Linked DNA regions of Anolis sagrei. The protein of the gene in region 1 binds, or shares a complex with, the protein of each later gene. Links are inferred from orthologs where the notes say so. Each region holds a gene or a part of one and is shown on either strand. Other genes may lie near its edges. The genes, in order: ROBO3 and NELL1.

Region 1 (8,039 bases):
GTTTGAGTCGACAGTGCTCTCTGAATGTAGGTGAACTACAACTCCAAAACTCAATTTCAGTGTCCACCAAACCATTCCAGTATTTTCTGTTGTGCCAAGTTTGGTTCAATTCCATCGTTGGGGGAGTTCAGAATGCTCTTTGATTGTAGGTGAACTACAAATCCCAGCAACTACAACTCCCAAATAACAAAATCAATCCCCCCAACCCCACCAGTATTGAAATTTTGGCATATTGGGTATTTGTGCCAAATTTGGTCCAGTGAATGAATATACATCCTGCATATCAGATATTTACATTACAATTCATAACAGCAGCAAAAATTACAGTTATGAAGTAGCAAAGGAAATAATTTTAAGATTGGGGGTCACCACAACATGAGGAACTGTATTAAGGGGTTATGGCATTAGGAAGGTTGAGAAACATTGGTTTAGCTCACTGGTGAACTGGTTGAGACTGGAGGAGACATTAATGTAATATAATATATTGTATATACATAAAATATTGATAATATTATAATGTTACACAATATAATACTAATAATGATAATATGATATTATAATCATATATTTATATTACATGTAATATTACTATTTTTTTCGTGCCAGGAGCGACTTGAGAAACTGCAAGTTGCTTCTGGTGTGAGAGAATTGGCCATCTGCAAGGACGTTGCCCAAGAGACGGCCAGATGTTTTGATGTTTTACCATCCTTTGTGGGAGGCATCTTTCATGTCCCCGTATGAGAAGCTCATCCGCGCTCTCCCTGGATTCGAACCTGTGACCTGTCGGTCTTCAGTCCTGCCAGCACAGGGATTTAACCCATTACGCCACCCAATCGTATAATACAATATAGTAATATTTAATACTGATATTGTGCTATGCTAATAATATAGTATATTGTATGTACATCTAAGCTCATCAGTTGGAACCAAACTTCTGAAGGACAAAAAATTTATTGCACTACGTTGGAAAGAACACTGCCAAAGCCTCCTGAATCGCAGCTCCAATGTGGACGAAGAGGTTCTCTCACAAATCCCACAACAACAAACCAGGGATGAGCTTGCAGCACTGCCTAGTTTGGAAGAAGTCAGCAATGTTATCAGCCAACAAAAAAATAACAAAGCCAGCGGACCTGATGGGATCCCTGTTGAAATCTTTAAAGAGGGAGGACCTGAGCTAACACAACAACTCCACCAACTCATTGAAAAAGTGTGGGTGACTGAGTGTATATACTGAGAGTATATACAAGATATATATCTTGTAAGCTGTTCTGAGTCCCCTTCGGGGTGAGAAGGACGGCATATAAATGTCATAAATAAATACATTGAAAAACTAGAGCAAAATGTGCCTGCACAAACAAAGTTGTGGAAGTTGAACAAACTTTTCCCCATGTTCTTTATGACAGAAGCAATTCGGAAATGACACTGACAGCCCAGGAGTGACAATTGTGTTACAGCATAGTGTGATTTTCTATCAAAAGTGTTCCTGGAAAGCACAGAGTTGCAATTTGGCACACTTTTCAACTTTGGTCTTGTTCCCTGGAGAGGAGTCGGAAAGAGCAGAACTTCTCTCCAGGATGAGAAAAGGGCTTCTAATGGAAACAATCCCCCTTTGAGTGAGATCCAAAAGAACCTGGAATCCCCCAAAGCCCCCCATGTGAGCCCCAGAGGAACAGAAGTGACGCATCCCTCTGAACAGGAGGAAGAAATTCAGCTCTGAATGGGGCGCATCTCCCAATGCAGTTGAATACTACTTCCACTGCCCTGGCTCAATGCTGTGCGGATGCAGTTTGAAGAGAAAGACTTCTCTGATAAGCATCCCATAGCATTGAGCTCTTTGTCTTGAGACGCGAGTGGGTGCATTGAGATGCGAGTGGGACTGGAGAAGGGAAGGGAGAGAGAGGCGAATGGTCTCACTGCAAAAGTGTTCCTGGAAAGCACAGAGCTGCAATTTGGCACACTTTTCAACTTTAGTCTTGTTCCCTGGAGAGGAGTCGGAAAGAGCAGAACTTCTCTCCAGGATGAGAAAAGGGCTTCTAATGGAAACAACCCCCCTTTGAGTGAGATCCCAAAGAACCTCGAATCCCCCAAAGCCCCCCATTTGATCCCCAGAGGGACAGAAGTGACGCATCCCTCCAAACAGGAGAGAGAAACTCAGTTCTGAGTGGGGCGCATCTCCCAATGCAGTTGAATACTGCTTCCACTGTCCTGCCTCAATGCTGTGCGGATGCAGTTTGAAGAGAAGGACTTCTCTGATAAGCATCCCATAGCATTGAGTTCTTTGTCTTGAGATGCGAGTGGGTGCACTGAGATGCGAGTAGGATTGGAGAAGGGAAGGGAGAGAGAGGCAAATGGTCTCATTGCAAAAGTGTTCCTGGAAAGCACAGAATTGCAATTTGGCACACTTTTCAACTTTGGGCTTGTTTCCTGGAGAGGAGTCGGAAGGAGCAGAACTTCTCTCCAGGATGAGAAAAGGGCTTCTAATGGAAACAATCCCCCTTTGAGTGAAATCCCAAAGAACCTCGAATCCCCCAAAGCCCCCCATTTGATCCCCTGAGGGACAGAAGTGACGCATCCCTCCGAACAGGAGAGAGAAACTCAGCTCTGAATGGGACACATCTCGCAATGCAGTTGGGCACTGAATCATAGAATCAAAGACACTGTTTCCACTGTCTTGGCTCAATGCTGTGTGGATGCAGTTTGAAGAGAAGGACTTCTCTGATAAGCATCCCATAGCATTGAGCTCTTTGTCTTGAGATGCGAGTGGGTGCATTGAGATGCGAGTGGGACTGAAGAAGGGAAGGGGGAGAGAGGCGAAAGGTCTCATTGCAAAAGCCAAAGGAAGCTCCTGTTTCCCGTCCCCATGCTCACCGTTGGTGCTGGTCAGGTTGCCCAGGTCAAGGAGGCTAAGGCCGGCGTCCGAGGAGGAGTTGAGGCGGAGTAGGAGCTCCGAGGAGTTGCCCAAGGCGTCCCCGGCTGCTAGAGAGTCGGCGAAAAGGTTCATTTGCAGCAACGTCTGGAGCAGGTAGCGCAACATCCCGGCCGCCCCTCCGGCCCCACGACGCCGCCTGTGCCGGCATCCGAGGAGGAAGAGGAGGAGTGGGAGGAAGCAGAGTAGTAGAGCAGCAGAGCCGCAGCCACCCCCAGCAGTGCCCGCCGCCGGCCTCTGCAGCTTCCTCTGCACCTCCTGGCTCGCCCGCCTTCGCAGAGCTCTCTCTCCTCTCCCCTCCTTCTTCCCTTCCTTCCTTCTCTCCTTGGGACTGGTCTCCCTCCTCCCAGGCAGAAAGCAGGTGCCGCCACCAATAAATGTTTAATTATCGGATTAATAACTCTCCCTGGAGAGGTGGGGAGGGGGCGAGGGGGTGGGGAAGAGGCGCCCCTCCCTTCCCACCCCCTTCTCCCCCCTTACACAACACTCCCCTGCCCGCCTTTGCTCTCCAAAGTAAGGCAAGGATGGAGAAAGGAATGGGAAAGAAAGGGTCGCGTTTAGGAAACAGTCATGGAATCCTAGAATTGGAAGAGACCTCATGGGCCATCCAGCCCAACTCCATTCTGCAGGAAAATTGCTTTCAAAGCACCCCCAACAGATGGGCATCCAGCCTCTGCTTCAAAGCCTCCAAAGATGGAGCCATCACTACACTCCAGGGCATAGAGTTCCACTGCTTAACAGCTCTGCCCATCCAGCTTCTGCTTCAAAGCCTCCAAAGATGGAGCTTCCACTACACTCCAGGGCAGAGAGTTCCACTGCTGAACAGCTCTTCCCATCCAGCTTCTGCTTCAAAGCCTCCAAAGATGGAGCTTCCACTATACTCCAGGGCAGAGAGTTCCACTGCTGAACAGCTCTGCCCATCCAGCTTCTGCTTCAAAGCCTCCAAAGATGGAGCTTCCACTATACTCCAGGGCATAGAGTTCCACTGCTGAACAGCTCTTCCCATCCAGCTTCTGCTTCAAAGCCTCCAAAGATGGAAACTTCATTACACTCCACGGCAGAGTGTTCCACTGCTGAACAGCTCTGCCCATCCAGCTTCTGCTACAAAGCCTCCAAAGATGGAGCCTTCACTACACACCAGGGCAGAGAGTTCCACTGCTGAATAGCATGTACAGTCAGCAAGTTCTTAGAATCACAGAGTGGGCCATCCAGTCCAACCCCCTGCCAAAAGGCAGGAAAATCGAATTCAAAGCACCCCCATCCAGCCTCTGTTTAAAAGCCTCCATAGAAGGAGCCTCTACCACACTCTGGGGCAGAGAGTTCCACTGCTGAACAGCTATACAGTCAGTAAGTTCTTAGAATCATACAATCCTAGAGTTGGAAGAGACCTCATGGGCCATCCAGTCCAACCCCCTGCCAAGAAGCATTCAAAGCACCCCCGACAGATGGCCATCCAGCCTCTGCTTCAAAGCCTCCAAAGACGGAGCCTTCACTACACTCCAGGGCAGAGAGTTCCACTGCTGAATAGCATGTACAGTCAGTAAGTTCTTTGACTCATAGAGTTGGAAGAGACTTCATGGGCCATCCAGTCCAACCCCCTGCCAAGAAGCAGGAAAATCACATTCAAAGCACCCCCAACAGATGGGCATCCAGCCTCTGCTTCAAAGCCTCCAAAGATGGAGCCTTCACTACACTCCAGGGCAGAGTGTTCCACTGCTGAACAGCTGGTACAGCTGGTCAATAAGTTCTTAGAATCATAAGAGTTGGAAGAGACCTCGTGGGCTATCCAGTCCCAACTCCCTGCCAAGAAGCAGGAAAATCGCATTCAAAGCACCACCATCCAGCCTCTGTTTAAAAGCCTCCATAGAAGGAGCCCCTGCCACACTCCAGGGCAGGGAGTTCCACTGCTGAACAGCTGGTACGTTCAGTAAGTTCTTAGAATCATAGAATCATAGAGTTAGAAAAAGACCTCGTGGGCCATCCAGTCCAACCCCCTGCAAAGAAGCAGGAAAATTGATTTTTTTAAAAAAAAATCTCTTTTTTTAATTTCTATTTCTTGTGTATTCCACTCTTCGTTACTCACTTTTGATGTATATACTTACAAAATTCAATAAAAATTTAAATTAAAAAAAGATAATTGCATTCAAAGCACCCTCCACAGATGGCCATCCAGCCTCTGTTTCAAAGCCTCCAAAGATGAAGCCTGCACTACACTCCAGGGCAGAGAGTTCCACTGCCGAACAGCTGGTACAGTCAGGAAGTTTTTCCTCATGTTCAGGTGGAATCTCATTTCCTGTAGTCCAGAGGTCCTCAGCCTTCCTCTGGCCACGAGCAATTCAATCTAAATGGCCTTCAGTGTTAGGCAGAGTCATTGGTATCCAAAGAGTTTTGATGCGAGTGGGCTGGGAACTCTGCTCCAGGTTTTAGTCCAGCGTTTCTCAACCTGGGGGTCAGGACGCCCTGGGGGGTTGCAAGGGGGTGTCAGAAGGGTCGCCAAAGATTATCAGAAAACACTGTATTCTCTGTTGGTCATGGGGGCTCAGTGTGTGAAGTTTGACCCAGTTCTATCATTGGTGGGGTTCAGAATGCTCTTTGATTGTAGGTGAACTATAAATCCCAGCACCCACAACTTCCAAATGTCAAGGTCTATTTTCCCCAAAATCCATCAGTGTTCGCATTTGGTTATATTGAGTATTTGTGCCAAGTTTGATCTAGAACCATAATTGTTTGAGTCCACACTGTTCTCTGGATGTAGGTAAACTACAACTCCCAAACTCAAAGTTGATGCTCACCAAACCCTTCCAGTATTTTCTCTTTATCACGGGAGTTCTGTGTGCCAAGTTTGGTTCAGTTCCATCATTGGTGCAGTTCAGAATGCCCACAACTCCCAAATGTCAAGGTCTATTTTCCCCAAATTCCATCAGTGTTTACATTTGGTTATTTATTATTTACTTCATTTATATACCACTTTTCTCAGCCCTTGGGCAACTCTAGTTTGATCTAGATCCATAATTGTTTGAGTCCACAGTGCTCTCTGGATGTAGGTGAACTACAACTCCAAAACTCAAGCTTAATGCCTACCAAACCCTTTCAGTATTTTCTGTTGGTCATGGGAGTTCTGTGTGCCAGGTTTGATTGAATTCCACTGCTGGTGAAGTTCGGAATGCTCTTTGATTGTAGGTGAACTATAAATCCCAGGAACTACAACTCCCAAATGACAAAGTCAATCCTCCCCCAACCCCATCAGTATCCAAATTTGGGTGGATCTGGTACTTGTTCCAAATGTGGTCCAGTGAATGAAAATACATCCTGCATATCAGATATTTACATTCCAATTCATAACAGTAGTAGAATTACAGTTATGAAGTAGCAACGAAAATAATTTTATGGTTTGGGGGTCACCACAACATGAAGAAAGGGCATTAGGACGGTTGAGAAACACTGTTTTTGTACTTTCAAGGGGCTCTTGAAGGTGCCAGACTTTAAAGAAGGGAAATGTATTCAGCACTTTGGACAGTTCCTTCATTCTGAAAGGCAAAATAAGGTCCCCATTCCAGCCCTGTAGAAATAAAATGGGAAATGGACTTCTGCTTTGTCTACAGAAACCTCCTCAAGTTCAGTCTCTCACTCCTCCAGCTTCAAATGAGAATTTTAAAAAGATCCAGGAAAGTGCCTTCCCTGCCAGTCAGAGTGGCTTGAAGAACAAACAGTCTGGTTTGGAAGAAAGCAGGCTGCAGTGTTCTTGCTTCCCAGCTGCTTCCCTGGTTCTTGCTCTCAAGGAATGGCGCACGTGGCAACCGCGTGGCAGCCCTGTCCGTGTCCACCCAGCCGCACACCTCTGCTGCTATGCGCCAGAGTCAGCATTTCCATGTTTCATCGTAAATGTCATCACTGCTGTGGGATGGCTGAAGAGGGAGTCCTGTACAGCACAGCAGAAATGTGACAGGTTGCAAGAGATAGCGGCTTCCTTGCAATGCGGAATGATCAGCTAAGAAACTCACTTTTGGACTGCTTTAGAAGGAATATCAGTCTTTTGTAGTAGGGAGGGAAGGAAGGAAGTAATCTAGCAGCACTTTTAAGACCAGCTCCTTTATATTTTAACATAAGCTTCTTGTGCAGTGATGAAATGAAAGCAATGGGTTAATGAAGACATTTAAAGAGAAGTTGTACTATCCCTGTAATAGGCAGTGCTCTCACTGCCTATTACAGGGAAAACCAACTGATCCCTAATCCATCTAAAACACAGACATGTGCCTTTCACCTTAAGAACAGACAAGCATCCCGAGCTCTGAGGATTACCTAGGAAGGAATCTCACTGGAGCATTGCAGCGCTCCAAATACCTGGGAGTCACTTTGGACCGTGCTCTGACCTACAAGAAGCACTGCCTGAACATCAAGCAAAAAGTGGGCGCTAGAAACAACATCATACGAAAGCTGACTGGCACAACCTGGGGATCACAACCAGACACAGTGAAGACATCTGCCCTTGCACTTTGCTACTCTGCTGCTGAGTATGCATGCCTAGTGTGGAACACATCTCACCACACTAAAACAGTGGATGTGGCTCTTAATGAGACATGCCGCATTATCACGGGGTGTCTGCGCCCTACACCACTGGAGAAATTACACTGCTTAGCCGGTATTGCACTGACATCCGCCGGGAAGTAGCAGCCAATAGTGAAAGGACCAAGGCAGAGACATCTCCAGCTCATCCCCTGTTTGGGTATCAGCCAACACATCAACGACTTAAATCAAGACATAGTTTTCTTAGATCTACAGAGACACTCGCTGGAACACCCCAGCAAGCGAGAGTCCAAAAGTGGCAGGCCCAAACCCAGCATCTCAATCCATGGGGGATACTAGATGAGAGACTCCCCCCTGGGCACTCAGAAGTCTGGGCGACTTGGAAGGCGCTGAACAGACTGTGCTCTGGCACCACGAGATGCAGAGCCAACCTCAAGAAATGGGGCTACAGGGTGGAATCCTCGGCATGCGAGTGTGGAGAAGAACAAACCACTGACCACCTGCTGCAATGCACCCCGAGCCCCGCCACATGCACAATGGAGGACCTTCTTGTGGCAACACCAGAGGCACTCCAAGTGGCCAGATACTG
Region 2 (7,257 bases), on another chromosome or scaffold:
CACCTGGATCCATGGCAGGCTTCCTCAGAGGTTGTGAGATTTGTTGGAAGCTAGCAAAATGGGGTTTATATATCTGTGGATTGTCCAAAAAACTTCACAACCTCTGAGGATGCCTGCTATAGATGCAGGCAAAATGTCAGGAGAGAATGCTTCTGGAACATGGCCAGACAGCCTGGAAAACTTACAACAACCCAAAACTTCAAACTGTTCTATTACATATACAATTAAAAAAACTTTTAACAGCATTTTACAGCAATGTTCAGGACTGTTCCCAATTGCACACACAGCCCTAGAAAACTGTTTCTTTTGATGCAAGGACTGGGAAATGTTCCCATGATCTATTCATTTGTCCTGTCATTTTCAACATTGCAATCCAGTTGCCCTAAAAAGCAGTCTGCTCCAGTTAAGCCTCAATTAAAATGTGTCCTTATATTAGTTTCCTGGATTAACAGCTAAATCACAGAGAGAGGGTTTTCTCTGCATGCACCCAAAAAAAGCATTTCATAATATAATTAGTTTTTGCATTAGTGTGTGTTGTGTGTGTGCCTTCCAGTCACGTGTCAAATTATGATGACCCCATTAATTTCAGAGTGTTGTCCTAGGCAAAGAACACTTGGAGGTGGCTTTGCCAATTCTTCTGGCAAATCACTGTGAATGCCAGCACTTGGAAGGATGGCCCACTTCCATGTGAATGAAATGTGAAATATCAGCCCCTGCTTGTACTCCCCTTCTCTTTCTGCGGCAGAGATGTCTCTGAAGTGAAAGAATTTCTGTAAGCTGTTTCATTTGCTACTTCAAATCCTTTCCATCTTCTGTAAACAAACAAAAGATGCCCGGTAGGCTCCCTAAACTTTTTCTTACTGGTTTGGAGGGGTGGAAGGTAAGAGGGAAACAGGCTTCCTCGGTCATTAAAATAATACTAGGGAAGGCAGGGTTAGGGTCAATGCCCAGACCACTGAGAAGGCATCTAGCTACACAGAGAAAGAGGCTTCTCCCTCAAACCATGCAAAAAGCAAGAGCAACACTTGCTCCACCAAGCCTGCTTGTCAAATACAGAAGCGCTGACAGCTGATTCCTCGTGCAATTGATGGGGATTTGAAGGCAATATGAACGAGCAAGGTGCTTTGAATCTGGTGTCATGATCTCTTGGAGTGCCTTTCCCCGCCAAGCCCTACATTTTCCCCTTCGCCCCCCAGGAAAGGCGTGCTGTTTTAAGTCTCAAGCCAAGCGAGCTGCATGCCCTCGGCTGGGAAGACAATAAAAGAGTGCCACCCATGTGCAACGCTAAGAAACAGGCACTCCGCTCTGCTCTGCCGAAGAAGAGCATTCACCTGGCGCTTTGTATTTCATCATATATGTATAATTTTTTTACAAAATCCTTGTGATCCTCTCCAAGGGAATGATCTCCCCTCTGGCAGGTGGAAATCACCTTTCTTGGGCGGTTATTACAGGAGAGGAAGATCAATCCCTTCACCGGGGCTTGCCTCGTGCGGTGATGAGCAGCAAGGCTTCTTTAAGGGGAAGGAAGCCAGGTCTGGGTCGGATGGGAGGAGGAGGAGGAGGAGGAGGAGGAGGAGGAGGAGGGGGCAGGGGGGGGGGCGCACGGCGTGAATCTGGGAAGAAGGGGGGTTGCACAGCAAGGACTTGTCTTCCCTCCTAAGGGAGGCTGCCGGGGGGGTGGAGTGTCCTAAGAGAGCAGCAGCAGACGCCGCCACTGCCATTACAATGCAAAGTTTCCGAGTTCCGCCCTGCAAGACGCGGCACAAAAGAAAAAGGAGAGAGAGAGAGAGAGAGGAGAATGAGGGGGGAAGGAGAGAGAGAGGGCCCTTCTACACAGCCCTATATATCCCAAAATATCGAGGCAGGAAATCCCACATTATCCGAGTGTGGTTTCAGGGCCCCTTCCACACAGCTAAATAAAATCCCACATTTTCTGCTTTGAACTGGGATATATGACAGTGTGGACTCAGATAACCCAGTTCACAGCTGATACTGTGGGATTTTCTGCCTTGACAATCTGGGATATAGGGCTGTGCGGAAGGGCCCAAAGAGAGAAGAGGAGAGAGAGAGGAGGAAGAAAGAGAGAGAGACCTTCTTGATCCCAGATCCTTCCTCTTCCCATTGGGATCGTGTGGTGTTTTTTTAATCGCTTCTTACAGCAATCATTGACTATTTGTCTGGGTCAGGCAAGGCAAGGAAGCGATGGGAGAAAGATCCAAACGGGAAGAAGAAGAAAAGATAGATTATCTAATGGGAAGAAGAATAGATAGATAGATAGATAGATAGATAGATAGATGACACATAGAGGTAGAGAGAGAGAGAGCAAGATAAAGAGCTAGAGGAGCCAGAAATCCTCCCTTGCTCCTTTCTCCGCGCCTCTTCCAGGGCGACTGTCATTCCCTCGCACGCAAAGCCCCATTTCGGGGGTAACTCGCGGGCCAAAGGGGACCCGCTCTAAATAGAGAAAGAAGGAGCGGTGAAATCCGCCGCGAAAAGAGGAGGAGGGGGAAGGCATCCTCCTCCTCCTCCTCCTCCTCGCCCACCTATTGTCTCCTTCGCAAGAGGGTCCCTCGGCGCCCCTCTGCCTTCTCCCCCGCCCAAGTGCCCCCTTCGCCCCTGGGAGAGCCAGCCTTCTTCCTTCCCTTGGCCAGGCCGGGCGGGGATGCCCTTCTTCCCTCTCCTCCTCCTCCTGGGGGCTCACCTGTCCTCGCCGCCGCCAGGCAGAGGCAGACGCCGACGATGCCCTCCATCTGGGCGGTGGGTCGGTGGCGCGGCGCGATGCCCCGTCGAAGCCTGGCCCGGGCTCTCCTTGGAGCATCAGCGCCGTCCAACTTGAGCGGCTCCCCTGGAAGGAGAGGGAGGGCGAGGGAGAGGGGGAGGAGGAGGAGGGGGAGAGCCAGGCCCACGTGCTCCTCTCCTCTCGGCCCGGCGCGGCTCTCAGGCGGCCTCCTCCCGGGAAGAGCGGCTGGATGGGTGGAGGGGAGGGGAGGGGAGGGTCTCCTCCTCCTCCTCCAGCTCCGCTTTGTTCAGCTCCTGCCGCCGCCGCCCCTCCTCGCGCTCGAAGGACAGCGGCACCGTCAGCTCGCCCGCCTGCCTGCCTTTCTCTCTATGTGTAGGGAAAGGGGGGGGGGAGAGAAAGGGGCGCCCCCCCCCCTCTTGGAGCCTAATGGATCAGTCTAAAGCGCCGCCACTCCTTTCCCCCGAGCGGGAGGCAGGGGCATCTTTGGGAAATCGAGGGGGCGGTGGGAAAGGAGAGACAGAGCAAGAGAGATGAAGAACTGCTCAGGAAGGATGCTCCTATCCAGAGATCTGAGCAACTTGGAGGATGCTGCTTCTGCTGGCCCCCGTCTCCAACGAGACGGAAGCCGAGATTAAAGGAGAACTCGCCGCTTGATGTTCTTGAAGGATCCCAGAATTAATGTCCTTCCCCCCCCCCCCCACTCCCCGTGGGGTTTGTGGAATGAAGAGGACGCCTCCTCGTGCATCTGAACAAGCCCAAATGGCAACGCTCCAAAGCGTGGGGGTAAAACTGCCAGTCTTCGGGGCGCAACAGGGTTCTGGGGTCTTCTCCTCTGCCCTTGGGGAACCTGTGGCGACTAGACAGGCCCAACTTCCCCGGGGCTCAAAGGGGCAGCTTGGAGGGCTTCGAGGCATGGCCCTGCCCGAGACCCAAACAGGGTTTTGCTAAGCACGCAGTAGCAACCACTACCTTGTGGAACGTCAACAGTTGCTTGCACCCGCCCAGCTATTGACCCCATTAAAAAAATCACGCGTGTCCAGGCCCTGGTTGTGGCGAGATGCTGCTTCGGCTGTCCCTGCCGAAATCCCTGCTCCGCTCCTAAAGGCAGATGACCCTCCTTGCGACCCTCCTTCTGTGCCTCCTTTGCACTCATTCACAGGCCGAACAGGGACCTCTTAAGCACTCTTTCAATGACTCCAACATCTTGACCATATGCAGGTTGATTGGGAAGGGAGCCCCACTGGGAGGCATCCGAGGGGCTTCCCAATATGTGCCTGCACTCTGCTGGATATACCGAGTTTGCAGTGGACATACATTAAGACAAAATGAGGTTATCACCTCAAGAAATTGAGGTGTGCCAGCGACTATTTATTTGTTTGTTTATTTATTTATTGTGTCAAAACCAAATTGAGAGTACAGTTATTATTTTATTATTATCTATCTCTATAAAAAATGCTCTCTTCGTTTTAAGTGACATCATAACTCAAAATTCGCTGGACGAATTGCCACCAAAGTTGGCCACAAGACACCTACTAACCAAAGGAGTAACCATCACTCAAAAATGATTTTGTCATTTGGGAGTTGTAGTTGTTGGGATTTATAGTTAACCTACAATCAAAGAACATTCCGAACTCCACTAATGATTGAAGTGAACCAAACTTGGCACACAGGACTCCCATGACCAACAGAAAATACTAGAAGGGTTTGATTGGCATTGACCTTGAGTTTTGGAGTTGTAGTTCACCTACATCCAGAGAGCACTGTGGGCTCAGACAATGTAGGATCAAGACCAAACTTGGCACAAATACTCTATATGTCCAAATATGAAGACAGATGGAGTTTGGAGAAAATAGACCTTGACATTTGAGAGTTGTAGATACTGGGATTTATAGTTCACCTACAATCAAAGAGCATTCTGAACTCCAACAATAATAGAATTGGGCCAAACTTCCCACACAGAACTCTCATAACCAACAGAAAATACTGTGTTTTCTGGTGGTCTTTGGTGACCCTTCTGACACCCCCTCGTGACCCCAAGGGGTCCTGACCCCCAGGTTGAGAAATGCTTCCTTAAGGCCATCCAGTCCAACTCCCTTCACCAGGGCAAGAAAACATAATCCAGACCTCCTGACAAAGAGCCATCCAGCTATGTGTGTGAGAGAGATTCACACGCACACACACACACACATAGTATCATAGATTTGAATGGGACCCCTGAAAAAGGACAATTATATGTTGGCATGTTCCAGAGTAGGCAAACCAGACAATCACAACATCAACACTGACAAAGAAACAACAAGAAATACTACTTACCCACAATCATAAAGAAATTACCAATATTATAAACCAACACTTTCTCGTTACTTTATTTTCCAGATCTCCAGACTGAGCCACAGCAACGTGTGGCGGGGGACGCCTAGTCATGTATAAAAAAGCCACAAACAAAGTTAAAAACTTGGCATTATGCTAAATGTTCTTTGACCAGAAGCTGGCCACTTCAAGTGCCTCTGGTTTCACTGTGAGCAGGTCCTCCGTTGTGCATGTGGCAGGGCTCAGAGGTCTGTGGTTTGCTCTTCTCCAAACTCACATGTCATGGACTCCACTTTGAAGCCCCATTTCTTAAGATTCGCTCTGCACCTCGTGGTACCAGAGCACAGTCTATTCAGTGCCTTCCAAGTCACCCAGTCTTCTGGGTGCCCGGGGGGGGGGGGGAGTTTCTCATCCAGTATCAGCCACTGATTGAGGTTTCCAGGTTTTAGCATGCCACTTTTGGACTCTCACTTGCTGAGGTGTTCCTGCAAATATCTCTGTAGATCTTAGGAAGCTGTTTCTTGATTTAAGTCATTGGGATGCTGGCTGATATCAAAACAGAGGATGGATCAGTGATGTCATTGCCTTGGTCCTTTCATTGCTGGCTGCTACTACTTCATAGTAGACAGTAGGCTGCTACTACTTCACAGTGCAATACTGACAAAACAGTATAATTTCTCCAGTGGTGTTGGGCGTAGACATCCTGCGGTAATGCAGCATGTCTCATTAAGAGCCACATCCACTGGGCATGCATACTCAGCAATAGAGCAGCAACGCACAAGGGTAGATGTCTTCACTGTATCTGGTTGTGATCCCCAGGTTGTACCAGTCAGCTTTCGTATATTATTTCTAGCACCCACTTTTAGCTTGATATTCAAGCAGTGATTCTTATAAGTCAGAGCATGGTCCAGAGTAACTCCTAGCTATTTTGGGATGCTGCAATGCTTCAGTGGGAATCCTTCCCAGGTTATCCTCAGACCTCGAGATGCTTGTCTGTACTTAAGATGAAAAACACACGTCTGCACTTTAGATGGATTAGGAAGCGGCTGGTTTTCTCTGTAATAGGCAGTTAGAACACCTAAAGCTTCGGAGAGCTTCCGTTCAACCACGTCAAAGCTCCCTGCTTGAGCTGTGATGGCAAGATTGTCAGCATAGATGAAACTCTCTGTCCTTTCCGGCAATGGCTGTTTATTTGTCTAAATGTTGAACACTGATGGAGCAAGCATGCTCCCCCGAGGCAGGCTGTTCTTCTGTTTTCTCCTTCTGCTTCTTTGACTCTGGAACTCAACAAAAAAGTTCCTGTTTTGTAGCAGGCTTCCTATGAAGTGGGTGAAGTGGTAATCCTTTGTGATATTCTACATTTTTCTCAGGAGGAGGTGATGATTTACAGTGTCATAAGCTGCTGATGCGACTTGCAGTATGCAGCCTGGGATTATAAAGGGATATGAACCCTCTGCCAGCAAAGGAGCTATAATAAACCTTTTTATACATATGGTTCTATGGTTTGGTTTGAGTATTAGATTATGACTCTAGAGATGAGGGTTTGCCTTGAGTCCCTATTTCAGGAGAAAGTTGGGGTAAAAATAAAGTAAATAAAACCAAATAAATTATATCCTCCACTCAACCATGGAAACTTGCTGGGTGCCATTGTGTGAGTCCCATGCTCCCAGCCCAAGAAAAACACTGTGTTAGGATTGCCTTAGGGATGTCATAAGTCAGTAAACTTGAAGGCATCATCAACAAAGATACATAGAGATGGGATATGTTCCTAGGCACAGAAGTAAAATTCTATCAAAATCAATGGATGTTAATGCATTGGTAGGTACACTGAGTTCAAATACAGGTTGCACATTCCTTATCTTGAATTCCAAAATCAGAAATATTTCAAAATTCCATTTTGCCCATATGGATGGCTGAGATGGTGACACCTTGCTGATTGGAAGGTTGGTGGTTTGAATCCATGGGATGGAGTAAGCTCACACTGTTAGCCCCGGCTTCTGCCAACCTAGCAGTTCAAAATATGCAAATCAATAGGTACTGCTCCGGCGGGAAGGTAATGGCGCTCCATGCAGTCTTGCCGGCCACATGGTCTAGGACAGGGGTCCTCAAACTTTTTAAACAGAAGGCCAGGTCACAGACCCTCAAACTGTTGGAGAGCCGAATTATAATTTGAAAAAAAAATAACATGAATAATTCCCATGCACACT

Evidence for each region.
Region 2: the proteins of ROBO3 (region 1) and NELL1 are in contact, whole or in part, in a crystal structure (PDB 6POL), measured with the Homo sapiens proteins. The link is inferred for Anolis sagrei from reciprocal best matches to the Homo sapiens genes ROBO3 and NELL1. Residues at the interface, in NP_071765.2 of Homo sapiens: Ser553, Pro555, Val590, Glu592, Phe594, Pro596, Asn600, Thr601, Trp602, Thr604, Ile624, Leu626, Arg630, Gly633, Ala634, Trp635, Gly636, Leu637, Ser638, Glu639, Pro646, Val647, Arg648; in NP_006148.2 of Homo sapiens: Ala440, Lys441, Met442, His443, Tyr444, His446, Tyr458, Arg468, Val469, Asp470, Asp471, Phe472, Ser473, Asp478, Ile492, Cys493, Thr494, Asn495, Thr503, Cys504, Lys505, Pro506.

The regions. Positions count from the first base shown.
Region 1 is NC_090027.1:17,922,432-17,930,470, forward strand, and holds the start of ROBO3 (roundabout homolog 3), read right to left. Parts: upstream 3,094-8,039; 5' UTR 3,035-3,093; coding exon 2,869-3,034; intron 1-2,868. UniProt on the Homo sapiens protein: Receptor involved in axon guidance during development. Acts as a multifunctional regulator of pathfinding that simultaneously mediates NELL2 repulsion, inhibits SLIT repulsion, and facilitates Netrin-1/NTN1 attraction.
Region 2 is NC_090021.1:264,555,822-264,563,078, forward strand, and holds the start of NELL1 (protein kinase C-binding protein NELL1), read right to left. Parts: upstream 3,137-7,257; 5' UTR 2,751-3,136; coding exon 2,702-2,750; intron 1-2,701. UniProt on the Homo sapiens protein: Plays a role in the control of cell growth and differentiation. Promotes osteoblast cell differentiation and terminal mineralization.